Linked DNA regions of Callithrix jacchus. The protein of the gene in region 3 purifies or fractionates together with the protein of the main gene of each other region. This does not show direct contact. Links are inferred from orthologs where the notes say so. Each region holds a gene or a part of one and is shown on either strand. Other genes may lie near its edges. The genes, in order: MCM5, SNRNP40, SF3B1, SRSF1, TRA2B, USP39 and ZNF326.

Evidence for each region.
Region 1: the proteins of SF3B1 (region 3) and MCM5 purify together in Homo sapiens (affinity purification with mass spectrometry; 4 studies listed by BioGRID and IntAct, with this or other methods). This does not show direct contact. The link is inferred for Callithrix jacchus from reciprocal best matches to the Homo sapiens genes SF3B1 and MCM5.
Region 2: the proteins of SF3B1 (region 3) and SNRNP40 purify together in Homo sapiens (co-immunoprecipitation; 3 studies listed by BioGRID and IntAct, with this or other methods). This does not show direct contact. The link is inferred for Callithrix jacchus from reciprocal best matches to the Homo sapiens genes SF3B1 and SNRNP40.
Region 4: the proteins of SF3B1 (region 3) and SRSF1 fractionate together in Homo sapiens (co-fractionation; 3 studies listed by BioGRID and IntAct, with this or other methods). This does not show direct contact. The link is inferred for Callithrix jacchus from reciprocal best matches to the Homo sapiens genes SF3B1 and SRSF1.
Region 5: the proteins of SF3B1 (region 3) and TRA2B purify together in Homo sapiens (co-immunoprecipitation; 3 studies listed by BioGRID and IntAct, with this or other methods). This does not show direct contact. The link is inferred for Callithrix jacchus from reciprocal best matches to the Homo sapiens genes SF3B1 and TRA2B.
Region 6: the proteins of SF3B1 (region 3) and USP39 purify together in Homo sapiens (co-immunoprecipitation; 3 studies listed by BioGRID and IntAct, with this or other methods). This does not show direct contact. The link is inferred for Callithrix jacchus from reciprocal best matches to the Homo sapiens genes SF3B1 and USP39.
Region 7: the proteins of SF3B1 (region 3) and ZNF326 purify together in Homo sapiens (co-immunoprecipitation; 3 studies listed by BioGRID and IntAct, with this or other methods). This does not show direct contact. The link is inferred for Callithrix jacchus from reciprocal best matches to the Homo sapiens genes SF3B1 and ZNF326.

Annotation. Positions count from the first base shown.
Region 1 is NC_133502.1:206,269,642-206,273,658, reverse strand, and holds part of MCM5 (DNA replication licensing factor MCM5), read right to left. Parts: coding exon 3,970-4,017; intron 3,607-3,969; coding exon 3,541-3,606; intron 3,133-3,540; coding exon 2,956-3,132; intron 2,023-2,955; coding exon 1,910-2,022; intron 1-1,909. UniProt on the Homo sapiens protein: Acts as a component of the MCM2-7 complex (MCM complex) which is the replicative helicase essential for 'once per cell cycle' DNA replication initiation and elongation in eukaryotic cells.
Region 2 is NC_133508.1:67,930,545-67,935,031, forward strand, and holds the start of SNRNP40 (U5 small nuclear ribonucleoprotein 40 kDa protein), read right to left. Parts: upstream 3,137-4,487; 5' UTR 3,107-3,136; coding exon 2,963-3,106; intron 1-2,962. Other genes in the region: ZCCHC17 (zinc finger CCHC domain-containing protein 17), read left to right, coding at 3,437-3,568. UniProt on the Homo sapiens protein: Required for pre-mRNA splicing as component of the activated spliceosome. Component of the U5 small nuclear ribonucleoprotein (snRNP) complex and the U4/U6-U5 tri-snRNP complex, building blocks of the spliceosome.
Region 3 is NC_133507.1:118,370,192-118,374,208, forward strand, and holds part of SF3B1 (splicing factor 3B subunit 1), read right to left. Parts: intron 3,686-4,017; coding exon 3,473-3,685; intron 3,219-3,472; coding exon 3,097-3,218; intron 732-3,096; coding exon 534-731; intron 435-533; coding exon 333-434; intron 105-332; exon of another isoform or gene 1-104. UniProt on the Homo sapiens protein: Component of the 17S U2 SnRNP complex of the spliceosome, a large ribonucleoprotein complex that removes introns from transcribed pre-mRNAs.
Region 4 is NC_133506.1:108,328,950-108,333,723, reverse strand, and holds the start of SRSF1 (serine/arginine-rich splicing factor 1), read right to left. Parts: upstream 2,964-4,774; 5' UTR 2,841-2,963; coding exon 2,647-2,840; exon of another isoform or gene 2,231-2,646; coding exon 2,046-2,230; exon of another isoform or gene 1,681-2,045; coding exon 1,508-1,680; exon of another isoform or gene 1,308-1,507; coding exon 1,121-1,307; exon of another isoform or gene 748-1,120; coding exon 725-747; coding exon of another isoform or gene 709-724; 3' UTR 1-708. UniProt on the Homo sapiens protein: Plays a role in preventing exon skipping, ensuring the accuracy of splicing and regulating alternative splicing.
Region 5 is NC_133516.1:14,863,028-14,865,973, forward strand, and holds part of TRA2B (transformer-2 protein homolog beta), read right to left. Parts: intron 2,475-2,946; coding exon 2,391-2,474; intron 812-2,390; coding exon 752-811; intron 1-751. UniProt on the Homo sapiens protein: Sequence-specific RNA-binding protein which participates in the control of pre-mRNA splicing. Can either activate or suppress exon inclusion. Acts additively with RBMX to promote exon 7 inclusion of the survival motor neuron SMN2.
Region 6 is NC_133515.1:27,393,604-27,397,620, forward strand, and holds part of USP39 (ubiquitin carboxyl-terminal hydrolase 39), read right to left. Parts: intron 2,543-4,017; coding exon 2,317-2,542; intron 1-2,316.
Region 7 is NC_133508.1:127,450,633-127,454,649, forward strand, and holds part of ZNF326 (DBIRD complex subunit ZNF326), read left to right. Parts: intron 1-2,271; coding exon 2,272-2,419; intron 2,420-3,661; coding exon 3,662-3,761; intron 3,762-4,017. UniProt on the Homo sapiens protein: Core component of the DBIRD complex, a multiprotein complex that acts at the interface between core mRNP particles and RNA polymerase II (RNAPII) and integrates transcript elongation with the regulation of alternative splicing: the DBIRD complex affects local transcript elongation rates and alternative splicing of a large set of exons embedded in (A + T)-rich DNA regions.

The DNA.
Region 1 (4,017 bases), on a different chromosome or scaffold from region 3:
AATACAGATGCCTGTTAGAAAACAGGTGAAGAAAAGCCTGGCCACATCTGCAAGGCGAAAACCGCCCCTTCCCCACTGTTGGACATTGTGTGGTGTCTTGCCACAACATTCCCCATACTGTAATTAACAACGGCATTGTCCCCACACATGTAATTAACAATGGCACAATCACAGCAGCATGAAGGACCACTGAGTGGCACAGTCTCAAATTCCTCCACCCCAACACATCTGAAGACAGGACAAGCTGATGATACCCACAGGAGGCTTGGCAGTGATTGCAGTCCAAGGGCTGGGAGCACCTCAGACTCTCCTGGGAGGGGAAGTGTGGGGAAATCTGATCAGCATCTACCCCATCCCATCCCCTCCCCTCCAGCCCACCGGCCAACTGACAATCACTGATGTACGGAAAGCCTTAGCTCAACCATCCTAAGGATGTGGAGACTGAGGCCCAAAGGGAGGGAGGGCACTCCCCAAGCCCACCTGGGGACTTAGTGCAGAGGTAAGATTAGAATCCAGGGCTCCCTGACTCACAGCTGTGGGCCCAAGCCTCTCAAGACTGGGCTCTACAGAGCTCAGACTTGGATGAAGACCCAGGAACTGTCCACACTCACCCCAGCAGAGGTACTGAATCAGGGACCCACCAGCCCCCCACCAGCAGTGAACTCAGAGTGCCCTCGACCCCTGGGTGTTAGCTCCTTCAAAAGACCATCAAGGTGCTGTATGACAAGAATCTAAGTACTGTGGTTAAGAGCATAGCCTCTGGAGGCAGGCAACTGGGTTCACTTCCTGGCTCCACTACCTCTGACACGTGACTTTGGACAAGTTACTTAACTTCCTTTGCCTCCGCTTCCCCATCCATAAAGGGAATAATAGCACACCTAGCCTGGTAGGTTTTGGGGAAGGTTACAATTAATTCATATAGAAAGTACTGAATAAGGCCGGGCGTGGTGGCTCACGCCTGTAATCCAAGCACTTTGGAGGCCAAGGCGGGCGGATCACCTGAGGTCAGGAGTTCAAGACCAGCCTGACCAACATGGTGAAACCCCATCTTTAAAAAAAAAAAAAAAAAAAGGTACTGAATAATATTCAGAATAATGCCTAGAACAAAGAAAGTAGTGTGTGTGTGTACATATACACACATACACATATTTTTTTGAGACAAAGTCTGCTCTGTTGCCCAATGGCATGATCTCAGCTCACTGCAACCTCTGCCTCCTGGGTTCAAGCAATTCTCCTGCCTCAGCCTCCAAAGTAGCTAGGACTATAGGTGTCCACCACCACACCCAACTAATTTTTGTATTTTTAGTAGACATGGGGTTTCCCCATGTTGGGCAGGCTGGTCTCAAACTCCTGACCTCAAGTGATCCACCCACCTCAGCCTCCCAAAGTGCTGGGATTATAGGCGTGAGCCACTGTACCAGGCCAGTACTATGTATGTCATTATTATTACTGAAAATCTGGGAGAACAATAAAGTTGCAGCTACCATTCACTGAGTATTTAGTTACCTAGAGCAGGGCGATGCCAAGCACTTACTGATCATCTTATGTAATCCTTACAAAAATCCTAGGAAACATCAGCCTGGGGAAATCAAGGCTCAGAGAGGCCAACCAACTTGCCCAGAGTCATACAGTGAGGGCAGGTATGACCCAGAGCCCATATCCACCATGTCCACACTTCACTGCCTCCCTGCATGTCAAACTTGAGGAGAACTTCAAGACCATCTAAATCCCACCTCCTTGGTGTGAAGATGGGAAAACTGAAGCCAAGAGCCAGTGAGCTGTGCAAGGTGAGAAGGGAACAGAACAGCTTCAGTAGAGCATGAGGAGGTGCAGGATCAGGGGACTGGGTTCTCTCCCACCCAGGGAAGCTGGGCAACCTCACCCCCATGGGCCTGCATCCAGGACTCACGCTCGGCAGTAGGCAATAAACTTCTTCAGCTTGGCCAGGTCGATCTCGCCCTCCACGGCCTGTGTCTGTGTCAGTGCACTTACGTGCAGAGTAATGACATGCTTGGCCAGCATCTGGGGGAGAGGGGGCAAGGGGGAAGAGGGGACACAGGGTCATCCCACAGGCCCTCCCAAGCCTAGGTCCCAACACTGAGGTAGAACAGGCAGAAAAAGCTCATGGGACCCTAGCAACACAGATCCAGAAAGGGTGCTGAGGTATCAGGCATGCTCATCCCGTTTGCTCAGCACCAGACCCTCATTCTGACGACAGTGTCTGGATTCTCCTTTAGAGAGAATTTAATGCTCCTTGCTCCTCTGCCCTGGTCCATAAAGGGGTGGGGTTCAGCCTGTCCACCCCTACTTGGGGCGTGTATCTGCTTCAAGGATGGACATTTGATCTACCCATACCAACAGGAGTCTATCTGGGACTTTTGCTAGAAGCACTAGAAAAGGGGTGTCTCTTTCCTGGGGGCTATCAAGCTATAAGCTAATGAGACAAAATCTTATTTTGTCTTTGCCACCACAAAAGGAACAGCTGCCCAAGTACAAAGATTCCACCAAGGGAAGCAGAGCAGAAAGGCAGAGACAGTTGTGTGAGAATCCAGATATACCTGGGCCTTAAGCTGCTGGACTTCTCAATTCTATAAACCACTCTATTCTGTTCATTGAAAAATTTACTAACCAGAACTGAGGTTCTATTACTTATAACCCAATGTCAACTCCTCTGTTTCACATATAAGGGACTGAGGCCCTTATGGAGAAACTGATTTAGCCCCAGTCACACAGTTTATCACTCACAGCAGAGGCAGAGCCAGGCCACAGGACTCCAGACCCCTACTTCAATCCTCTGCAGTCCCCAACAAATACTCTCTGACATGCTCCCCAACCTCACAGCCTGACAGCTAGGACTTCACCAGCCAAGGCCCTTGTTCTCCGTTTTCCTTCCACACAATCACAAGCCCGCCTGGAGCCAGGCCCCATGGCCCTCAGCCCTGGCCCTGGACGCACCACATCCCTCTCCTCATTGTGCTCATCCTTGACAATGAAGATCATATCGAAGCGCGACAAGATGGTAGGCATGAAGTCAATGTTGTCCTCCCCCTTCGTCTCATCCCAGCGGCCAAACACTGAGTTGGCAGCAGCCAGGACGGAGCAGCGAGAGTTCAGGGTGGTGGTGATCCCAGCCTAAGAGGTGACAGAGGATGAGAAGGGGGAGGAGATGGCAAAGAGCCCTGGGAGATGCTTTCTTTCTTACACACGGACACACAACACACACACACACAGTTATGCATGCGTGTGCACGCGCATAAACACAATTCTAGGCCTAGGCAATACATACTCATACTCCCCCACACACGCACACGTGATTCTAGGCCTGAGCAACACACACACACACACACACACACACACAATTCTAGGCCTAGGCAAAGAGAACCTGGGAGATGCCTTCTTACATACACTTACACACACACCCCGTTCTAGGATTCTAGGCATGGGCAACGAGAACTTGGTCCCAGCCAAAGCCAATCAGGGTAGCCTGAGGATGGCTGGGCCAGGCTGCTGCTGGGGGCGCTCTCCACGGAGGCTACTCACCTTGGCAATAGAGATGGTCTGCTGCTCCATGGCTTCATGGATTGCCACACGGTCGTCTTCTCGCATCTAAGTGGAGGAGAGAAATGTCATCAGACTTACTGAAGTGAGGAAGCAGGGAGCTGTGGCAGCAGGAAAACTAACAGCAGCCCCAACTCCTGAATACCAGCTCCATGCAAGGCCAATGGCAGCGACCAGGTCACCTCTAATCATGGTAAGCACAGTGTGGGCTTGCCTATCTTCTCCACACTTTCGGATATGGAAACTGAGGCTTCAGAGGTTAAGCAACTTCCCACCATTAACCTAGAGCGACAGGCCCAGGGATTGAAAACATGTCTCCCAAGTCAGAGGTGATTTATGCTGGCTGAGCACATGAGGTCACATACCCTGGTGCCACCCCCTTTTGGCTACTACCCACCTCATCAAACTCACCTTGTCAAACTCATCAATACAGACGACCCCACCATCAGCCAGGACCAT
Region 2 (4,487 bases), on a different chromosome or scaffold from region 3:
AAACTCCTGGCCTCAGTGATTGCCTGCCTTGGCTTCCCAAAGTGCTGGGATTATAGGCTTGAGCCACAGTACCCAGCCTATTTTTATTTATTTTTTCATAGCACAGAGATCCCCAGCATGAGTGAAGTAGTTTTGATTATGGTCTTGGATGCTCAGGCAACATTTGGGCAATTCATCTACACCTGGGCTGATATGCTCACTTGTCAAATGGGAGAAGTATACTACCCCAAATCCCCAAATGTCTTCAGTACTTTCTACTATATTAATTTATTTATTTCTATTTTATTTTATGAGAAGGAGTCTTGCTCTGTTGCCCAGGCTAGAGTACAATGGCATGATCTCGGCTCATTGCAACTTCCACCTAATGGCTACGAGCAATTCTCCTGTCTCAGCCTCCCGAGTAGCTGGAATTACAGGTGCCTGCCACCACACTCAGATAATTTTTGTATTTTTAGTAAAGCTGGGGTTTCACCATGTTGGTCAGGCTGGTCTCGAACTCCTGACCTCAGGTGATCCGCCTGCCTCGGCCTCCCAAAGTGTTGGGATTACAGGCGTGAGTCACCACGCCCAGCCATATTCTTATTTTTACAAAATGCTATGTGCAGGCCGGGCATGATGGCTCATACCTGTAATCCCAGAACTTTGGGAGGCTGAGGCGGGCAGATCACCCGAGGTCAGGAGTTTGTGACCAACCTGAACAACATGGTGAAACCCCGACTCTACTAAAAATATAAAAGTTAGCTGGGTGGATCACCTGTGGTCAGGAGTGCGAGACCAGCCTGACCAACACGGTGAAAACCCATCTCTATTAAAAATACAAAAATTAGTCAGGTGTGGTGGCAGGGACCTCTGATCCCAGCCACTTGGGAGGCTGAGGCAGGAGAATCGATTGAACCTGGGAGGGAGAGGTTGCAGTGAGCCAAGATTGCGCCGTTCCACTCTGGCTTGGGCAACAAGAGCGAAACTCCACCTCAAATAAAAAAAGCAACAACAACAACAAAGGTTATGTTCTAGGCACTGGGCAAACAGCAACAAACAAAGGAAAGGGGTATATTGAAAATATCCTTTTCCAGTAGGAAAGGGGAAGAGTAGGAGGGAGGATGACAGAAAACAAGCAAAATATGTACTTGCTGTCATGTGCTATAGAAAATAAAAAGGATGGGCCGGGCATGGTGACTCATGCCTGCAATCCTAGCACTTTATGGGGCTGAGATGGGTGGATCATGAGGTCAGGAGTTCAAGACCAGCCTGGCCAAGATGGTAAAACCCCATCTCTACTAAAATACAAAATATTAGCCAGGTGTAGTGGTGGGCGCCTGTAATCCCATCTACTCGGGAAGCTGAGTCAAATATTGCTTGAAACCAGGAGGTGCAGGTTGCAGTGAGCTAAGATCATGTCGCTGCACTCCAGCCTGGGTGACAGAGTGACACTCTGTCTCAAAAAAAGAAAAAAAAAAAAAAAAGAAAGAAAGAAAGGATGGGCATGTTGGCTCATGCCTGTAATCCCAGCACTTTGGGAGGCCAAGGTGTGTGGATTGCGTGAAATCCTGTCTCTACCAAAAAAAAAAAAAAAAAAATTAGTAGTGTCTGTGGTCCCACCTACTCAGGATGCTGAGGCAGGAGAATCACTTGAGCCCTGGAGGCGGAGGTTGCACTAAGCAAGTGGGCATCAAATGGAGATTCTAAAAAAAATAAAATAAAATAAAGAGAGAAAGAAAGAAAGTAGCAATGTGGGTTCCAGAGTACAGGGTATTGCAATTTACAATAGGGTGGTCAGGAAAACCCTTACTGAAAAAGTTATATTTGGGCAAATATTCGAAGGAGCTTAGTAGAAGGAGATTGCTCTTCTTCCCTTGTAAACATTTGGGAAGAAGAGCTATCCCCGCAGAGGGAGCAGCAAATGCAAAGGACTGAGGCGAGGCTTGGAAGAGAGTGTAACTGGAGCCAGGTGGGCAATGAAAAACTGGTCAGAGAGGTAAAGGGAAAGAGGGCAAATGATTACAAGAATTTTGGTTTTTACTCTGGGTGAAGTAGAAAGCCACCAGGAAGTTTTCTGCAGAGGATAACGTGATCCGATACTTAGAAGGATTCATCTGGTTATTGGCTTGGTAACAGGTGCCGGTCCAAAGGCAGAAAGTAGACCAGTTAGGACCCTACTACAAAAATGCCAGTTGAGGTAACAATGGCTTAGGCCATGAGGCAGTGATGGAGATGGGAGAAGTAGCAATTCTAGATTTATTTTGAGGACGGTGCCAGCAGGATTTGTTGAGAACACGAGAAAGAAGACACTCATATTTCCTCATGTGAGCCTAAACAGGACACTGGAAGTGTGATCACGATTTCTATCTTATAAAATAGTTAGGAGCATGGTTTCTCAGTTCAAAATCTGTTTCTATCATGTACTTGGTAAGTTTGTTTTTCCATCTGCAAAATGGGTTAATAACCTTCCTAACAGGCTGCTACCAAGATTAATAGATATTTCACATGGGAAACACTTTAGTACAAGGGTCCAAGAATGTTAGCTGCTATTTAATTGTTAATAATACTAGCGCAGAAAAATAAAGGGAAAAGCAACCAACCCCAATCATTTCCCTTCTTTCCTCCCTCCCTCGTTCATTCTACAAACTTTTTTGAACGTTTGTTCTACGCTAGCTAGATCCATGTGAGTTAGGATGCTCAAACCCGGGCCCGGGTTTTGAGCCCAAGGTTCTAATTCAACTCTACTTCTAAAGCCACCTCACAGGGCAGTCGAGAGGCTGAAAACGAGCGCCAAACAGGGGAACATGTACGGAGTATCCGCAAACTATGGGGCGCTTAGTGTTTATGTGCTTTAACTTTAGGGGGAAACTCTCGTTCTGCCCCCGCAATGCGGGAAAGGGTCGGTGCAGGGCCACCAGACACAGCGCTTTGAAGGGAGAGGAAGATGAGCTGAGGGCCAAAGGCCGCCTGCTTCTTCACTTACCGCTTGCAGCAAAGCTCCCGGTGTCGTCTGCTGCTGCCCGGCTCCGGGGCCCGACCCCGTCGCTCCCAACAGCAACTCATGGCGCTGCCGCTTGACTGGGACCAGCGACAACTCCGGGCCCTTACGCTTCTGCTGTTCTATCATGGCGGAAACCGGTCTCTTCAGCGCCGCCACCGAACGCGCTACAGCCCTCAGGCGCCACGCAATTGGTTTCAACTTAGTCCTTCCTCCACAACTTCCAGCTTGAAGAACCAATCGGCTTTCAATATTCCCATTTGCACCGCCCTCCAGATAGTCTCTTGTTACTGGGCCTATCTTTCTGACGTCATGAGAGCGCGATTCCAGGATTGGTGAACGGAGCTGGCGACCTTCCTAGGCGCGCTGGGTGTTGTGGGTGGAAACACGCAGGTTGACTGGGTTAGGCGTTTACTTCAACGCCGCGATTTGGGGACCAGGAGCTGACGCCTAGTACGTATGAGGAAGAGCGGGGTGGGTGGCTGTCTGAGTCTGGAGGCAACGCCTCTGTTGTGCAGTCTGAACCTGCCCTTCTCAGCTGAGGGTGCTGATAGCGAGGGGTGGGAGGCGGGCCCCGAGTCCCCAGCTCTGGTAAGTAGTAGCCTGGGCTCCCTTTCCGGGCAGGAGCGGAGCCTTGGGGTCTCGGCGGCAGGACCGAGCCCCCGCGGCTCCCTTTTTCAAGAGCGCCCATCGTGGCCAGTCCTGTGCCGGGCATTCCCAGGGAGAAGGGCCTGTGTCCAGCCTCCACCGGTGCCCTATTTGGCCGAGGAGGCTGACTTGTTTCTGCCACTGATTTTGCAGTTTTTGGTTAGGGCCTACTCTATGCCCCGCTGAGAGAGACCGTGATGAAGGAAATGTCCGGCTCCTTCTCCAGACACAGTCTTGTTGAGAAATTTGACTCATGCCCGTGAACGTGGTCATTTCCTCAATCGTCCAGCTGATATTTATTGTGCAGCGCGTTGGGGATACGTTGTGAACCAGGCACGGTCCCTACTCTCAAGGCGTTTAAGTCTGGTGGGGAAAACGTTAAACAGTGACCTCACTAATACATGGAAGTGCCTCTAGTGCTGCCTGATGCAGGTTTTTCAGAGGAAAAGATGCCTGCGCTGGTAGCTGCAGGAAGAATTGGAATTAATTAGGTGAAGAGGCTAAGGCAGAACCTTCCATAGAGAACTACTTGTTCATTTTCCTCCCAAGCCCTGAGGCACTCGGGAGGAAAACGGCCTAAAGCACAAAGAACCAGTGTGGCCGGTACAAAGAGAATGAAGGGGAGTATGGCACAAGATGAAACTATGTGATAGCGGTCAGACCTTGCAGAAATTTGTAGCTTTTATTTTAAAACGGATGAGATACCACTGAGCCGTCTTCCCCCAGTGGGGTGTGGTGGAGGAGGGGGCTTGATTCCTCGGGCTCAGTGGTGTGAACAGATTGGGGTTGAGGAAGCCCTTGTGGCTGTATATAGACCACTTAGGATATGTAGTAATTCTTGTTAGAGATGTCAGTGAGGACT
Region 3 (4,017 bases):
TCCTAAATAACCTTTACCAATTTGGGCTATTTGGGAGAGTAAGGAAAGGCCATACTCCACAGTGGGCTATACCAATAGCTCACTACTATTTTGTGGACTACATTTCCTGGTGAAAAAATTTAAAAATTAAAAACATTTTTAAAAATATAAACATGGCCAGGTTCAGTGGCTTACACCTGTAATCCCAGCACTTTGGGAGGTAGGCCGAGGCAGGAGGATCACTTGAAACCAGCCTGGGCAATTTGGCAAAACCCTGTCTCTACAAAAACTACAAAAATTTGTTTTTAATTACATAAGCAACAAACATGACAACTTAACAAACTGAGACTTACCTTTCTCATTGGTGGTGTTCCATTCTTAATTTTTAAAAGTAACTTCATTATTTTTCTCTCTTTTTGCTCTTCTGGACTAAGTGTAGATTCATCAACATCAACCTATAGTAAAAAGAAAACAAATGTTAAGGCAAATTGAAATGTTATGATTTATAATTCTGGAACACAATGTAATAGTTTATTTCTGCTAGCAATACTTACCAGTAATTTATCAAAGTACTGAATATCATCAGGTTTTAAAAATGGAAGATTTCCAGATGGCTGGTCATTAACACTTTTCATAGTTCGATCTTCAGTTTGCATGTGAAAACCAGTCATACCACCCAAAGGTGTCGGAGTAGCTGTCAGCTTTCGAGCTGGAGTTCGAATAGGAACATAACCAGCTGGAGGAGGAAGTACCTAATAAAAGTTATAAGACATTTTAGAATTATCTTAACTTGAAAAACATTTGCACTTAAAATATTTTACAGTTTATTAGTTAGAAGGTTTTTATTTGCTTGGAGACAACACCTATCTTGCTTTTCTAATGTAATTAGAAACTTAAAATACATGCTTCTCATCTGTTGATTATATCAGCTGTATAGGGAACTGAGGAAATACAAGAGAAGAGCTTAGAAAACACTAATCACGTTCAAACATGTTGTGGGTCAAAATGTCAAATTATTAAAAATTTGAAAATAAAATCTGAGTCAGCAATTCCAAAAAATGCTCTAGTAAAGCAAATAACGTTTAATAAGTATTTATATAACTGGAAATAAGCTCATACGGTGTATACAACATATAAAGAGCTATATTTTAGTATTAAAATATCACATAAATTTCTGCACTCTAAAAACAAATCTTTTAAGGTAAAACTCATAAAAACTAAAACCAAAATGTTTACCAAAGCCCTGTAAAATATACCACCTAATTAAACCTTTTGCAAAACCAGTAAAATTTCAAAAACTATTGGCTAAAAATCACAAATAATTTTTTTTTTAAGCTGGTAACAGACTTAAAAAAAAAATTACAACTTCTGGTCAGGCCAGGTGTGGTGGCTCATGCCTGTAATCCCAGCACTTTAGGAGGCTGAGATGGGAGGAACACTTGAGCCCAGGAGTTTGAGAACAGCCTGGACAACAAGGCGAGACCCCATCTCTATTTTATATAATTTGATATATATAAAATATCTGCAAAATACAGATATTTTTCGTTGCTAGTTAATGTCTGCACCAGCACAGACCACTAAGCATTCTGAATAAAGTGGATACTCTATAGATGTGAAGCCTAGAAAAATCAGTTTCAAGTCCACAGAAATCACTCGCCATTAAGAATTTAAAGGTCTCCTATATTTTTATATTCATTAGTAAGGATGTTGCTTTTTAGGAGGATTCACACTAAGGGAGACTTTTCCTCCTAGTGACACTAAGGAAATCAATGACTATGACTGAGAAAGAAGCTCAGGCAGTCAACAGTAGGTTATATCTATACCCACAGCATTATGTGGAGTCTACAAAAAGCTTTTAAGCAAAAATTCATGCAAACTTGAAACACATACTTAGCAAAAATAACAGGGGATCAAAAACAAAACAAGTCTGGGGACAGTGGCTCATGCCTATAATCCCAGCACTTCAGGAGGCCAAAGTGAGAGGACAGTTTGAGCCTAGGAGTTTGAGACCAACCTAGCCAACACACTGAGATTCCATCGCTACAAAAAAAAATTAAAATTAGCCAGGTGTGGAGGTGCATGCCTGTAGCCGCAGCTAACTCAGGAGGCTGAGGCAGGAGGATAATTTGAGCCCAGGAGTTCGATGCTACAATGAGCTATGTCAATGCCACTGCTCTCCAGTATGGGCAACAGAGTGAGACCCTGTCTCTAAAACAAAACAAAACAAAACCAAAAAAAAAAAAAACACACACAAACTGTTAAAAATCAACAGTCATTAACAGAAAAAGCTCTGTAAAGGCCATCAGATGATTTACAAAGTCATCTGGTTTCTCTGGTTATAATCTCAGCTATACGACCACAGACTACCTTTAGACTAACAAATACTCCCTAAGTGTCAGCTACCTAGAAAATTTTATAGTTCAAAATAAATTTCAAGTTGATATGGCAAAAAGAACGCTGGGCATGGTGGCTCACGTCTGTAATCCCAGCACTTTGGGAGGCTGAGAAGGGCAGATCACCTGAGGTCAGGAGTTCAAGACCAGCCTGGCTAACATGGCAAAACCCCATCTCTACTAAAAATATAAAAATCAGCTGGACATGGTGGCACACGCCTATAATCCCAGCTACTCAGGAGGTGGACGCAAGAGAACGACTGGAACCCAGGCAGCAGAGACTATGCCACTGCACTCCAGCCTGGGCAACAGAGTGAGACTCCATCTAAAAAAAAAAAAAACCACCACCACCACCAAAAAAAACAAGAATATTCTTTGTGTCCACTGATAATCCATAAACTTAAGGACACAAAATCTTGGTAAAACACCAAGAAAAAAAAACCACAATCTAAAGGAGTTTATTCCTGGGACTGATGGAAAACTGAAGCAGCGGCAGTTCTCAAAGTCTAACCAATAGTCCTTGAGATTTCTTTCAAAAATTAATTTCTTGTTGTTCATTTCTTTTCATCTCTCTTTGGAACTGAAACATACTTGGAAATACCTAAGAGAATGGAATGACAATACTAAATTTGGGCAAAGCCAATGCAACCTTGATCAATTTTTTTTTACTATTTAAAATAAATGCATATCCTAAATACAACCTCATTCATATTTGATGTACTACCTTATATCCTTCTGGGAACATTGCATCTAATTCTTCATCAGAAAGTGGGCGATTTCTCTCATCAATTTCTCTTTCCCACCGCCAAGCCTGAAGCTGTTCAGGAGTCATACTCATTATGTGACCTACCAAGAAAAGCAAATTTTTATACAATCTATAGTGCAACACTGTATTATTACATATATCTTTGAGATAAAAGAGCATTAAGACCAACCCTAACATTTAGTTGCTTTTATATTATAAATGCAAACCAAGACTTATTTTTTTATCTCCTTATTCTAGCTAGTAATTGACATTAATAGCACACAGAATACCATAAAGAAAAAATTAAATAATTTGTAGAGGAAAAAACAATTATTTTCAATGAGAGAGTTTCTACCTGGAGTAGGGGTAGCCATGTTCATGGCTGGTGTGCCAATTGGTGTTTTTCCAGGGGTCAGAACTGGAGTGCTTCCACCCATCTGACTAGCTGGTGTTTCATCCCACCGTGATTTTCTTTTACTGGCTCCAGGAGTCGGTGTTTCACCAATAGAATCTCCACCTCGATCTGTTCGAGGAGTCTCAGCCCATCCACTTCCATGCCCAGGAGTGTCTTTAAAAAGAAAGAGTGAGTAAGACCACAATTTTAATCACTGTTAAAATAATATTTTTTATTCTCAGTTATAATCAAATCTATTAAGTTCTAAAATAGAATATTCCTTATTTAAATTTCTAGTGTTCCATTTCAAATTTATATATACCTTTTCACACTCTTGTGTGTATACATGTTTCTTTTCCGTGGGTTACAAAAACAGACAGTAACTACTACGAAACAGGAAGAGAGCAAAGTCATTTTTTAACTATCCTTAACATTATTACACAGAGATATCTGCTATGTGTATCTCAAGCTACTTCCTTCATTTCTCCATACAGTTGAGGTGACAC
Region 4 (4,774 bases), on a different chromosome or scaffold from region 3:
ATGTAATTTAAGTTTACTGGCATTGCTACCCACCTAATCTAAAACTAAATCTAATGCTCCCATTTGCAATTTAATTTGTAAATTAAAGTGTTTTAAACATATGAATCAATTATGAATATTAAAGGGGAAGGTGAGACCTAAGTATTCCCAACTAGATTATCTACACCAATACATTGGAACTCTATTATTTTGCTTTCATTTTGTCTTAAAAAAATGAAATAGCAACGCTCTATCAGTCACACAGAGGACATGCAGATTTAGCAGTATTGATATTATACTCTATCTTGTTGGATTTAAAGACACCCTCTACCCACATGTACACCAACAGCAGGTCACACATTAACAGTTGTAACTAAGCACTGCGACAAATTAGCCAGTTCTTCCCACATTAGTCCCTATTATAACAAAAATGGGGGGAAGGGAGCAAAATAAGTTGCTACAAAATGGGCAACATAATTTTGCCACAATTGCCAAGGTTTAAAAGGTAAAGCAATTGTAGCTAAAGGTAACTGAATAAAACATTCAAGTGTTTTAAGGAAAATGTATATAATCATTTTTACCCCCCTGCCTTTTAGTATAAGGTCAATACTGCCAATTTCATCTGTGACAATAGCACTTGGAGTCATACCATTGCCTCCATTATTGATCTGATCCTCCTCAATCCTCCTTTTGACAATCCTAAAATGATTGAAATGTGCTCCACAATCCTTAATCCAAAGCATTCTTAATCCATCTCTTCAGATATGTCTACAGAAAGACACATGAAAAGCAAGATAAACATAAGAACTTCCCCAGGTAAGATAACCATAAACATCCCCAACATCCCAGTTCACACAAATCAGGGCAAAATAGACATTTACACAATATCACAGTCTGAAGAGTATGGAGTTAACTAAATTTAAACAATCCTGTCTATGACATCACTTAAAATACAATTTATCGAAGACACGAGGGGAATGTAGATGTTAGGAGCAAAGGGATATTACAAGAATGCAATTCAACACTTTAGCCCATTCTGAACAAAACAGTTTGAATTAAAAAATGAAAAGATTGTACTGAATAAAGGAAAACTGTATACAACATGGGTTCTACAAAAAGTGTCACCAATCATCTTATGTACGAGAGCGAGATCTGCTATGACGGGGAGAATAGCGTGGTGATCCTCTGCTTCTCCTTGGGGAGTAACTGCGACTCCTGCTGTTGCTTCTGCTACGGCTTCTGCTACGACTACGGCTTCGAGATCGAGATCTTCCATAACTTGGACTTCTGGGCCCATCAACTTTAACCCGGATGTAGGCAGTTTCTCCCTATTGGATAGACAGAACTTTCCATTGAAAGATCTAAGCTTTCACCTAGCTTCAGGCATGCTGAATGAATACAATGTAACTAAAACCAGAAATCTGGCAATTTACTTGGACACCCTTGCCTGAATCCTTACCTTCAAATTCCACTGTTAAGACCACTGTATCCAATTCTGGTCAAAAAAAAGAATAAGCATATAACCTACCTCATGGGATCTAAACTTAGTGTTATCCAGTTTTCGAACTGCATAGGTCATATCTTCTTTCCGTACAAACTCCACGACACCAGTGCCATCTCGGTAAACATCAGCATAACATACATCACCTGCTTCACGCATGTGATCCTTTAAATCCTGCCAACTTCCACTTGGAGGCAGTCCTGAAAAAGCGATTTTTTTTCTTAGTATCAATTATCTTAAATTTCACGTTAAGCTGATAAGGTACATTAGGACAAAGAGTACTTTAAAATACTTAATAGTTGTACTTAAGTGATACCAGGTAAAGAGCTGGTAAGATTCTGGAATCCAGAGTCCAAAATTATTTGTAACGGATCTTCGTATCTAGTACCGCAACCTAATTTGGTAAATCACCACAGCAGCAATCCTCGTTTATTAAATTCACCCAAAAACTAAAGCAATTTAAGACCTAGCATGAAAAATTTGCAATTGTTAAACCGGTCACGCAAGAGAAAATTTTTAAGTAGTTTCCGTCCCTTCACATCAACCACACAACCGGTAGACTTACCAGAGACAACCACTCTGTTTTCAGACCGCCTGGATGGGGGGCCATAGCGACCTCGGGGAGCTCCGCCACCTCCACCCCCGCCGCCTCCTCGGCCTGTTCCACGGCCGCTTCGAGGAAACTCCACCCGCAGACGATATCCATCGTAATCATAGCCGTCGCGACCATACACCGCGTCTTCCGCGTCCCTGCGGGATCGTAGACAGTAAAAGGCATGAGAAAGACCAGGAGGAGAAGATCGCTCAGTCGGGAACCAGCGAACCCCCCGCACATGCGCACCCAACGTGGAAGAGCCCACATGCGCCGCATAATGGGAATGACCCCTCCCCCACCCAGAAACACGCCAGGCTCCCAGCCACTACACCAGCCCTCAGCGCCTCAGTTTCCCGCTCCAGCCTGCGAATGGGCTCCGGGGACGTCCAAGGCGAGGCGCCAGAGAAGCCACACCAACTCAGCTCCTCACTCGACTCCTGCATGGGCGATACAGTCTCGCCCCATCCTCTCTAAGAGCCCCCGCCTTCCCGTTCTCTATATTAAGGCCTTGGAGTCTTCCCCGACCACTCGGACCTATTTCCTCAAGGCTGCAAGCCCCATGCCGCCTCACCGCGGGTCCTCGAACTCAACGAAGGCGAAGGGCGGTCCCCCGCGGCGATTCTTGAGATCGATGTCGCGGATAGCGCCGTATTTGTAGAACACGTCCTCAATGTCCTTGGTTCGGATGTCTGGAGGTAAGTTACCCACGTAAATGCGGCAATCGTTGTTCCCTGCGGGGCCACGAATCACACCACCTCCCGACATGGCGGCGACGAAAAACGTGGACTCGAGAACGGGCCTTCCCACCAAGCCTAGCGCACGGCAGAGCAAGCCCGCAGCGGCACCACGTCTCCCGCGGCCCCTCCAAAATGGCGCCTTTATCAGTTCGGCGCACGGATATGGGGGGGGGGGGAGACAGAGGAAGAGAAGCGGAAGGAAACAGCGATTCGATCCCAACACGCACGCGCTGCGAAGACTACGTTCAACGTACGCGCGCGCACGCACGCGCGACGTCACCCTCCGCACGAAGGGGGAAAAAAAGTCCCCCGCGTTCCCGGCTTGGGGTGGTTTGCGAATAGAGTGGCCGTTTGGTAAAAGTTAAATAAAGAACTCTCTCTAAAGGAGCTAGTCTTCCAGGTCGGGTCTTGAAGGACAGTCAGTTTCCCCAGGAATGAGGATCTCTGAAAGCAACTCGGCGCCTTGAAAGGACTTGGTGAAACCTAGCCTAGAGCCTTGTCCCACCATGCTCTGCGGCGATAACGGCCTTTGGCGGGAAGGAGTCTCGGGGGCGGGGCCAAAGGGGGAGGGACCGGGCGGTTGCTCCGGAAACCCAGGCATCCTTGTAGAGTGCGTCTAGTTCAGAGCTGAGGTGCCATTGGAGAGCTGGGGCGTTGGTTTGTCTTCCCTCTCCTCCTGCGAACAGGGCGTGGCTCCTTAGACAATGAGATTTGTCTAATTTAGCAAAACCGATTTCGATTCCTAAATAAATCCTCTTCACTAAGTACCGTTCCACCTTCTGGTCAGAACTTTGCATAGCTTAGTTCAGCACTCCTTGTGCTTAGTCGCGGTGGGTAGGTCGTACTAGCTATCCGGAAGGGGTGAAAACACCGTACCGCCTCTGGGACCCACACCTCTGTATCTCTTGTTAGTCGCCTATCCGTGGGACTGGCGCAAAAGATTTGCAAATTTGTTTCCGTTGTTTCCTTTCAAATAAAGAGAAGGAAGAAGGGGTGCGTGTGTGCAGTTTTCCCTAAAAGTTACTGATATACCAGGTTTTGAAACTACCAGTCCTCTCAGGTAATAAAATGGAGCGAAATGGATGTGAGAACCGTAACCACTAGAGACCGCGGTTGCTACTCAGGACTGTGATCTACTTGCCTGCAGTCTTGGGAGATAATATTTTACATTTTTTTCCGACGTCTAAAATCTAGATTTTTTATGTTAAATCCAGGGATTTTTAAGGTAATGAATTCAAATTAAAATCAGGCTGGGCGTGGTAGCTCACGCCAGCACTTTGATGGGCGGGTCACATTGAGGTCAGTAGTTCAAGACCAGCTTGGCCAACATGGTGAAAACCAATCGCGGTGGCTCACGCCTGTAATCCCAGCACTTTGGGAGGCCGAGGCGGGTGGATCACGAGGTCAAGAGATCGAGACCATCCTAGTCAACATGGTGAAACCCCGTCTCTACTAAAAAATACAAAAAATGAGCTGGGCATGGTGGCACGTGCCTGTAATCCTACCTACTCGGGAGGCTGAGGCAGGAGAATTGCCTGAACCCAGGAGGCAGAGGTTGCAGTGAGCCGAGATCGCGCCATTGCACTCCAGCCTGGGTAACAATAGAGAAACTCCGTCTCAAAAAATAAATAAATAAATAAATAAAAATAAAAAGCCAGGTGTGGTGGCGGGCGCTTGTAATCCCAGCAGTTTGGGAGGCTGAGGCAGGCCGACAGATCACAAGGTCAGGAGTTTTGAGGCCAACCTGGCCAATATGGTGAAAGCCTGTCTCTACTAAAAATATAAAAATTAGCTGGGCATGGTGGCGTGCGCCTGTAGTCCCAGCTACTCAGGAGGCTGAGGCAGGAGAATCGCTTGAACCCGGAGAGCAGAGGTTGCCGTGAGCCGGGATCGAGCCACTGTACTCCAGCATGGGCGACAGAGTGAAACTCCGTCTCAAAAAAAAGAAAAAGAAAAAAAATC
Region 5 (2,946 bases), on a different chromosome or scaffold from region 3:
TTAATCTGGTTACCTCTTAAATTTTACGTATGTTAAGAGAGGTAAAAGAAAATTCCTGGCTGGGTGCAGTGGCTCATGCCCAGGCCAAGGCAGGAGGATTACTTAAGGCCAAAAGTTTTTAGACCAGCCTGCGACATGGTGAAAACCTGTCTCTATAAAATACAAAAAATTAGCCGGGCATGGTGGCACACACCCATAATCCCAGCAAGGGGCGGTGGCGCGCGCGCACAAAGACTGCAGTGAGCTGAATTGCTCCACTGTACTCCAGCCTAGGCAACCGAACCACACTCTTGTCTCCAAAACAATGAGAGGGAAGTCCCATACCATTAAATAATTCCCACAATATCCTCATGAACTAACACCCAAAACTAATTTCACAAGCACTTCGGGATTTAGTTTTGTGTAAAAAAGCCTGGCTTGAATGTACCCGAGATGCTTACAAAAAGCAAAGAAAATGTAATACAAGAACATAACAAAAGTAATTACAAAAAACTAGTTCTTTAACAGTGACTATCTTTAACATCATTAAGGTATAAAATGGTACACCACTAATAACGTATTCCAAACCCAATTAATATTTACAAATATACAAGACATTACACAGTCATTTAGTTTCATTTAGAATATTTTCATGAGCTTCAAACAGTTTGATTTTGGGTATTTCACTTATAATTTACAAAATATTAGTAGGCAACATCTTTATGTGAAGCTTTCTACTGTTGTACAGATGCTAAATCCTCTCCTGGAATACCTGTAAATCTGATCCCTGTCTTGAGCAGCTCTCCATCCTCCTCCTCCGCCACCGCCTCCTCTGTAAAGACACAAGGACAACATGCATTCAGTTTTGTAAAATTATGTCATTCATTCAGTAAATTAAACTTTCATAGAGCATGAATGAGATGCTCCTTGTATGTCAAGTGATTTGCCACCCTTTTTAGAAACTGGCATAGAGCTCTCTCTGGTGGCTGAAATGAGTAGTATTATTAGAACACAGAACACTCCTAAGTACTATTTTAAAAAAATGTCAAACAGGCCTGTCAAATTAATACCTTAAGTACCATTGAATAGAGTGATACTTTAAAGACAAAAAAAGGGTTTTCATGGGTGATAAAATGCTGAACAAGAACATACTTAAAAACTCACTTTCAATGATCCACAACTGTTAATTTCTTAAACATTACCAAATAATGTACAATTATCAAGGTATCAATGACAACTGTGGTCAATACTAACTACACTACTTCACTTGTCAAATTACACATTTTGACAAGCAAGGGAGGACCCAAATTTCCCAACTTTAATTTACTTTTATCAAGTTATTTTCAAAGATATCTTTAACAATGATTGGCATTTCCCTACCCAAACCTCTATAAATATCAAATTTTTGGCAGTCACAAAAAGTCACTTACCCTTTTAATTAATTATTTTATTTAATTATTTTCTGGTTTTTCACAGCATCAGTTTTACCTGCCCTCTAAGCGTACAACCCATGCATCAGCAATACCAAGAAACTGCTTGAAAAGCAATGGCTTATGCTATTTGCTTTTATAAAACATTGCAAATTTGTTTTTATAATACTAAGACACAGGTTATAATTATTTTTTGATTTTTTTTTTATTTTTAAGACAGGGCCTTGCTCTAGCGGAAGTGTACCTGGCTCACTGCAGCCACAAACTCCTCAGCTTCCTGACTCATTTCTGTGGAGATGGGTCTCCCTATGCTGCCCAGACTGGTCTCAAATCCCTCAGTTCAAGTGATCCCCCTGCCTCAGCCTATAATTTTGCTTTAGCTTTTTTGAGTGTCTTGATGTATTGCCCAGAGTGGAATAGTGGTGCAATCTCAACTCACTGCAACCTCCACCTCCCAGGTTCAAGTGATTCTCCTCAGTGTCCTGAGTAATGTCTGGCTAATTTTTTATTTCTAGTAGACAGGGTTCACTATGATGGCCAGGCTGGCCCTCAGGTGATCTGCCCAGCTTGGCCTCTCCCCAAGTGCTGGGATTAAAGGTGTGAGCCACCACGCCTGGCCTGTCACTCTAAAACAGCTAATTCACACAAAACACGTGACCGGGCGGATCCCCAAGGTCGGGAGTTCAAGACCAGCCTGACCAACATGGTGAAACCCCATGTTAAAAAAAGAAGAAGAAGAAAAAAACCATGTTATTTTATTGACATTCCAAGTGACTTAAACCCCATTTAAATTTTAGAATATTGGAACAGAAATCCAATCACACATGAATTTAAAGACATATCACTTTAAAATCTGGTTTAAGCTTCTGCTTTGCGTTTCTCAAAGTACTACAGCAAAGCCTTTATGAAAGGCTAAAACTTAAGCATAGTGCTAATCTGTACACTGTAACTGAGATTCAGAAGGTGACCTTCATAACTTACCTGTATGATCTGCTATAGTAGTCCCGATCATCATAGCCCCGATCATATCCTCTGTCATAGTAATCCCGACGGCGAGAGCTGCCACTATGAAGAAAAAAAATACCAAGTGTCCCTTATATTTCTGTACGTGACTTTTTATATCTACATTAACTAGAAAATGAACATTATGTCTGTTAAAATTCTCACCTATATTGAACAAGCACTGCTCTTTCCCTTGTTACAGTATATGTATACACCTACTTAAAAAAAAATCTTTGGTTAAGGAAACAGAGATCCTACATATGCACATCCCACATATTTCTACAAGGATAAAAAATAAACAGTATCACTCTGCTCTACTTAAAAGACATCATAGGTTGGGCTTGGTGCCTCATGCCTGTGAATCTCAGCATTTTAGGAGGCCAAGGAGGGCAGATTTTGAGGTCAGAAGATCAAGACCATCCTGGCTAACACATGCCTGTATTTCCAGCTACTGGGGAGGCTGAGGCAGGAGAATCGTGTGAAACTGGGAGGCGGAGGTTGCAGTGAGCTGAGATCATGTCACCACACTCCAGCC
Region 6 (4,017 bases), on a different chromosome or scaffold from region 3:
CACTGCAAGCTCTGGCTCCCAGGCTCAAATAATCCTTCCATCTCAGTTTCCCAAATAGCTGGGACTACAGGTGGATATCACCATGCCCAGCTAACTTATAAATTTTTTGTAGAGAGAAGGTCTGTCTCACTATGTTGCTCAAGCTGGTCTTGAACTCTTGGGCTCAAGCAATCCTCCCACTTTGGCCTCCCAAAGTGCTAGGATTACAGGCATGAGCCAGCGTGCCTGGCACCTGATTAAGATTTTATTGGCCACGTTGTAAACTACTAAACACCATCAATTACCAAGCTCGAATGACTTATAACTTCTGCTCAGCTGAGACTAAATCATGGGCTTCTGATCAATATATATTATCCAACCCAAAGTATATCTTATTTCCTACTAACCCTAAAATAAGTGCTCCATGGGCCCCATTCCTTACCACCTTGATTCCCCCTATTTCTCCTTAAGTAACAGAGACTCTTAAAAGTCACTACTCAACATCCCCTCTAAGTCAATCCTCAGCCAGAATAATGTTTTTGTTTTTATTTTACAGACGGAGGTCTCGCTCTGTTGCCCAGGCTGGAGTGCAGTGGTGTGAACATGGTTCACTGCAGCTTCTACCTCCCAGGCTCAAGCGATCCTCCAACCTCAGCCTCCCAAGTAGCTGGAACAACAGGTACCTGACATCATGCTTGGCTAATTTTAAAAAATTATTTGTAGATACAGAGTCTCACTATGTTGCCCAGGATGGTCTCTAACTCCTGGGCTCAAGCAATCCACCCACCTCGACCTCCCGCAGTGCTGAGATTATAGGTTTGAGACACCATGCCCAGCCAGAATAATGTTTTAAAAACAACTCTGATATCATACCTTTGTTAAAAGCCTTCAGTGAGGCCAGGCACAGTGGTTCACACCTGTAATCCCAGCACTTTGGGAGGCCGAGGTGGGCAGATCACCTGAGGTCAGGAGTTCGAGACTAACCTTGCCAACGTGGTTAAACCCTGTCTCTACTAAAAATACAAAAAAACTAGCCTGGTGTGGTGGCAGGTGCCTATAGTCCCAGCTACTCGGAGGCTAAGGCAGGAGAACTTCTTGAATCTAGGAGACGGAGGTTGCAGTGAGCCAAGATCACACCACTGTACTCCAGCCTGGGCAAGAGAGGGACATCCCATCACAAAAAATAATAATAATAATAAGCCTTAAATGACCCCAGCTGTTATCAGGATATAATCCAAGCTCCTTATGGTGGCTTATAAACCAGGCCATCAGGTCCCTCCCTCAAGATCTACACCTCAACTCTCCATTGATCCCTGGAGTCCACGGATCCAGTTACTTGCAGTCCGTCTATGCCAGGCACTTTTCACTTCTGCCCACCATGTCCTCTCTACCTAGAATGCCCTGCCCCCACCCCAACCTGCCTCTAACTCTACCTAAAACTCAGGGTTCTCCTCCTCCACTCTGACCTCTCATCTACCTCCTACATGTTCAGTTGAGGGGGTCCTTGTTCCATGCTCCCTCCCACAGCACAGCACATAACACCCTATAATTACCTTTTGTTAAAAAAAGGATAGTTGAAATTTGCTTATTTATTTTTAAAGACAGGGTTTTGCTCCGTTACCCAGCTAGAGTGCACTGGTATGATCATAATTCACTGTGGCCTTGAACTCCTGGGCTCAGGCAATACTGCTGCCTCAGCCTCTCAAGTAGCTCAGACCATAGGCTTATGCCAGCACACTCAACCTTTCTACATAACAATTTCCCCACTAGACTGGAAGTTCTTCAAAGGGAAAAATCATGTTTCTTATCGCTGCTCTAAAACCTAGCACCATGACTGAATGTTGAATAAACTAATACGGACACTAGAGGATACCACATGAGATTCAGGTACAAAGTTACAGTGTCCACTTTACTCATAAGATAATAACAAATTGGGTTTGGAGAGACAGAAACAGTCAAAATAGTTCATTAGAGGTCAGGCACAGTGGCTCACACCTGTAATTCCAGAACTTTGGGAGGCAAAAGCAGGCGGATCACGAGGTCAGGAGTTTGAGACCAGCCTGGCCAACAAAGTAAAACTCCCCTCTCTACTAAAAATACAAAAATTAGCTGGGCATGGTGGTGGGCACCTGTAATCCCAGCTACTTGGGAAACTGAGGCAGGAGAATCGCTTGAACCAGGGAGGCAGAGGTTGTAGTGAGCTGAGACCACACCATTGCACTCCAGCCTGGGTGATAGAGTTAAAAAAAAATTCACTGCCATGTGGAAATAAATTTGCTCATTAAACTGGTTTTGTTGTCCTGAAGTCAAGGGAAACATGAATGACTTGCTCCTTACCTTGTTTAGTGATCTGAAAAGTCTTCTTACTGCAAAGTACAACTGCCTGAAGCATCTCATGGGGAGATACATGTGCCTTGAAATTTCGAGGGTTCCAGAGCTTTCTCATCAGCTCTCCAAAACGCTGGACCAACAAGAACATAATATCCCCTGGAGGACGCTTGATGTTCTTATAGTTGTCTTCTTCCAGAAAGTAGTTCCGGAGAGGAGGAACATTAGATAGAGCCTGAAAATCAAACACTCCAATTAACCCAAAGCCCCTTTGTAGGACCCCTTGAGCCAAGCTCTTCCAGCTAAAGCTCTCCTAATAGAATCCTGTGATCTATCTGTGATGGCCTTAAAGAGCCTTAAATGGACCCTTGGAGAATCCTACCCAGGCTCACATTACAGAACTGTCCTTAACATTGAGTGTCTGAAATACCACTGATTTGATAATGGAAACAAGAAAAAAAAATTGAGTTTCATAAGAACTACAGTTCTGCAGATACTTCGCTGATGTGGATAATAATAAGGGTAAAACAAAACAAAAACCACATGTATTCAAATCTCTATCAATTTATTTAACAATTTCCTTTTGTTACTCTAATTATGCTGTGACAATACTCAAATTCATAAGGTAGAAGGGTAAAATCCAAATACTCTTTTCTTCATCATCCATTTTGGCTGAAGCAAAGATAACTATCTAGGAAACAGTTCTCCCATCTCTCAACTCCAAACTAATATAAAAATTATCTTAAAATTTGATGTTTTCCCATAATAAAACCATGTAACTGTACATAAAATAAATATAGGGAACTGTGAGGACGCAAAGGTGTAAGAATAATACAATGGACTTTGGGGACTTGGGGGAAATGGTGGGGGGGGTGAGGGATAAAAGACTACACATTGGATACAGTGTACATTGCTCGAGTGATGGGTGACCAAAATCTCAGAAATCACCACTAAAGAACTTGTACATGAAACCAGACACCACCTGTTCCCCAAAAACCTATTGAAAGTTTTTTTGTTTTTTTTTTTGGAGACAAATTCTTACTCTATCCCCCAGGCTGGAGTGCAGTGGCAAGATCTTGATTCCCTGCAACCTCCGCCTCCCAGACTGAAGCAATTGTCATGACTGAGCCACCCTGCCCCACCAAAATTTTTTCTTTAAAGTAAATATAGTCTGTTATGATGGAAAACAGTCAGCCAGGCAAGGTGGCTGAAGCCTGTAATCCCAGCACTTTGGGAGGCTGAGGCAGAAGAATCACTTGAGGTCAGGAGTTCAAGACCAGCCTGGCCAACATGGTAAAACCCAGTTTCTACTAAAAATACAAATTAGCCAGGCATGGTGGCACGCACCTATAATCCCAGCTACTTGGGAGGCCGAGGCAGGAGAATCGCTTGAACCTGGGAGGCAGAGGCTGCAGAGAGCCAAGATCCACTGCACTCTAGACTGGGTGCCAAGAGCAAAACTCAGTCTCAAAAAAAAAAAAAAAGAAAAGAAAATGGTCTGTAGGCAAAACCATCCAGGACGTAGGAACAGGCAAGGACTTCATGACTAAAACACCAAAAACAATGGCAATAAAAGCTAAGATAGACAAATGGGATCTAATTAAACTCCAGAGCTTCTGTACAGCAAAAGAAACCATCATTAGAATGAATCAGCAACAAACAGAATGGGGAAAAATTTTTGCAATCTATCCTTCTGACAAAGGGCTAATA
Region 7 (4,017 bases), on a different chromosome or scaffold from region 3:
AATATAAATCTGATATAATGAAAAGAATGTCAACTCATAATATGTCACTATTTTATGATATAATTTCTTTAAAGTAGTCAAATTATTTTCATTTATTAGAGCAGTTTTGAGTTATGAGGATTCAAGATTGAGTAAATCACTATTCTTGTGATTGGTTCCTTCCCTTGGATATTTGAATGCTTTTAACATAATAAAGAGGATGGAAAGGTGTATACCTACCCTTAAGGGAACCTAGGGAGAACAAGATGGATGTGTGAGAGATGTACACATATAATACTATATGGTGAAGGATACCAGAAGAGAAGTACAATGTAGTCTTATGAGAAATAACTTCTTCATAAGGGTGTAGGAAGCTGAGCGTGGTAATTCTAGCACTTTGGGAGGCCGAGGGGAGGTGGACTCCTAGAGCCTAGGAATTCAAGAATATCTTGGGCAACATGGTGAAACCTCATCTCTACAAAAAATATAAAAATTAACCATGGTCACAGGTGCTTGTGGTCCCAGCCACTTGGGAGGCTGAGGTGGGAGGATGGATTGAGCTTGGGAGGTGGAGGTTGCAGTAGGTTGAGATCATGCCACTGTACTCTAGCCTGGGAAACAGCAAGATTGCGCCACTGCACTCCAGCCTGGGCAACAGAGCAAAAAATAAATAAATAAGGGTGCAGGGAAATCAGGGGAGGCTACGATGATGGAAGTGGTATTTGTGTTGATCTGGGAATGTCAGGGTTACAGGAGGAGTTGTGAGAGGAAGCCCAGGTAGAGGCCATGGTTTGCCATAAAAGCAAATAAACAGGAATGTGTTATTGATATTCAGAAAATTGAGAGCAGTGTAGATTGAAGTGACTCTAGTGCGGTGAAAGGTGTAATCTAATTTAAACATTTAATGAAGGTTTGCTATGTGCCAGATATTGTTAAAGGAATTGGTGAGTAAAGCCAAGAAGGAGAGATTAGGAAATTTCCCAGATGCTAGCTGAAAACATTTTTGTCTTTGTTTTTTGAGGCTTAAGGAGCTAATGATGCCCTTAGAGGAGTAATTTGCTCTTACCTCCTAGAGGAAGTAATAATAACTAATTGAATAATTATTGTGTGTTAGAAATTGTTCTAAGGGCTTTATATGTATTTTTAAAAATCCTCATAACACATCTATGAGCGTTCTGATCTCAATGTAAGAAAACCAAGGCCCAGAGAAGTCAAGTAACTTGCCCAAGATCACAAAATGGAATTAGGATATGAACTCAGCAGTTGGCTTCAGAGCTTATATTCTCAACTATGAAAGTAAATCTAATAGCATTGCAAATAATTAATTAGAAAATGGGACTAGAAACAGAAACCAGTTATGTCACTGCTAGCCTAATTCAAGGAAAAGAAAATAACATGAGATAGAAACAATTATGCTCTGTGCAGTGGCTCACACCTGTAATCCCAGCTCTTTGGGAGGCTGAGACAGGTGGATCACCTGAGGTCAGGAGTTCAAGACTGGCCTGGCCAATTGAAAAAAACCCCGCCTCTACTAAATATACAAAAATTAGTGGGCGTGGTGGTGCATGCCTGTAGTCCCAGGTACTTGGGAAGCTGATGTGGGAGAATCTCTTGAACTCGGAAGGTGGAGGTTTCAGTGAGCCAAGATCTCACCACTCCATTCCAGCCTGGGCAACAGAGCAAGTCTCCATCTCAAAAAAACAAAAAAAAAAAACCAAAAAACAAGTGGGACAGTTCATTCTGGAGTGGCTCTTGAGCTTACAGATGTATGCATTTGTCCAGTCCAGACCTATTAGTTATCCTGAAGTGAAGTGGTCATTAGAAGGTAAGACTTTTGATCACCTAAGAATTCCATAGGAGTGAATTATGATTGTCTGATGGTGTGCCACTATACTTAGTTGATACTACCAGTGGTTTAGAAGCTTGAGGATGGAACAACATGTAAAATGTTACAGAACTTTGGAACTTAATACTTCTTGAGGTTTGCTTTGGCTTTTTAATTGGTCTAGGCTTGAAGTAGATAATTTATATATCCACTGCTTCCATTTTTCCTACGTGGAAGCTCCAAGGTGGGCCAGAAATGCGAAGTGGTAAAATGACTCTGCTGTCTAAATAAGTACTTAAAGAAATATTGGTTTTTTTTTTTTTTGGATTTAAGCTAATTTTAATTCAGTATAAAATGGAAGAAAGGAAATAATTTATGTTGATAAAATTAGTTTCAATGGTATATTCTTGTGAACTTGTTATAAGTGAAAAAAGTAATATTTGAAGGAAGACTTTTTTGTCTTATAGAATGGCATTTACATGTTCGTTTTGTAAATTTCGAACATTTGAAGAGAAAGATATTGAACTGCATCTGGAAAGTTCTTCACATCAGGAAACATTAGATCATATACAGAAACAAACTAAATTTGATAAAGTAGTTATGGAGTTTTTGCATGTAAGTAGCTGTTTTTGAAATGAGAAGCATTTTATTGATGTGAATTTCTTATGATTTCATTTTTCACTTTCCCCATCTCTCACATTTTGTATTTCTAAAATTTTAGTTTACTATTTAAAGAAAGAGTTGTTTTAAAATTAACTCATAATTGCTTGTGAATACCTCTATAATAGAGTTTGTTAAAATTAACCCATAATTGCTTATGAATTCCTCTATAATTTGGATTTGTTATTTCAGAAATTATTACATTTTTCACAGTTGTTTCTGGTGGAGGTGTCCTTTAACAACTTTATTGATGTAGAGTCAGCTATCATCCATTAAGTGGAGTTATGCTAGATACATTCATTCATTATTTCAATTGAGCCTTAAAACAACTCATTTTTATCATGAATGATTATGCTCAGAGTAGCTAAATGACTGTTAGGTGGCAGTGCCAGGAATTCAGAGGTACCGTAAGTGTTTGGTAAAGGGAAAGACAGTTGGGAATGTTAAAGAATGCTTAGGCCGGGCATGGTGGCTTACGCCTGTAATCCCAGCACTTTGGGAGGCTGAGGCGGGTGGATCACGAGGTCAAGAGATTGAGACCATCCTGGTCAACATGGTGAAACCCTGTCTCTACTAAAAATACAAAAAATTAGCTGGGCATGGTGGTGCGTGCCTGTAGTCCCAGCTACTCGGGAGGCTGAGGCAGGAGAATTGCCTGAACTCAGGAGGCGGAGGTTGCCGTGAGCCGAGATCGTGCCATTGCACTCCAGCCTGGGTGACATGAGTGAAACTCCGTCTCAAAAACAAAAACAACAACAGCAACAACAAAAGAATGCTTAACGAAGGGGCTTGAGCTGGACTGTTTATTGAACATACAATTAATTTGGACAGAAGAGATGGAATTATTAGAAAGAAATACAGTGATTATCCAGGCCAATATAATCTTCACAGAACTGTGACCCTTGATTAACACTTTTCTGTAATGTATTTCCGTTGCCCTAACTTAAATACCCACCTACTCTGAGAAGACCACTTAAATATTCTGGCTCCTTTTGATCTCTTTCTGTATATGCTTAAATAATTTTTGTAGGTTCCTAGTATTTTATGAGTCTCTTTTCAACTAAATTGTAAGCTCCTTAAGAAAAGATATTAATTCTTATATAGCAGATACTATGTCTTTCATAGAATGAACATAGTGCTAAGCATTATACTAAGTGCTCATTGAAAACTTTTGATTTTTTCTGTTTTGTTTTCTAGGAGTGTATGGTGAATAAATTCAAGAAAACCTCTATTCGTAAGCAACAGACAAATAATCAAACAGAAGTAGTCAAAATAATTGAAAAAGATGTTATGGAAGGTAAATATTTAAAACAAATTATTTAAAAATTTTACATGCATTTTAATATATCATAACCTGTTGAAATATAAATGTTAGCCACCAGAGTGATACAGTACACAGTCATATATGCATTTGCTCTGAGTGGGTTATCAGAAATGAACTTCGTTGACTTCCTGTTCTCATGCTTACAAATTTATTGCTACCTACCATTACTTCCTTCACTTAAGTTTCAGAGGAAAAGTTACCTTTTCCTCTAAATGAAAGACACTTCTCT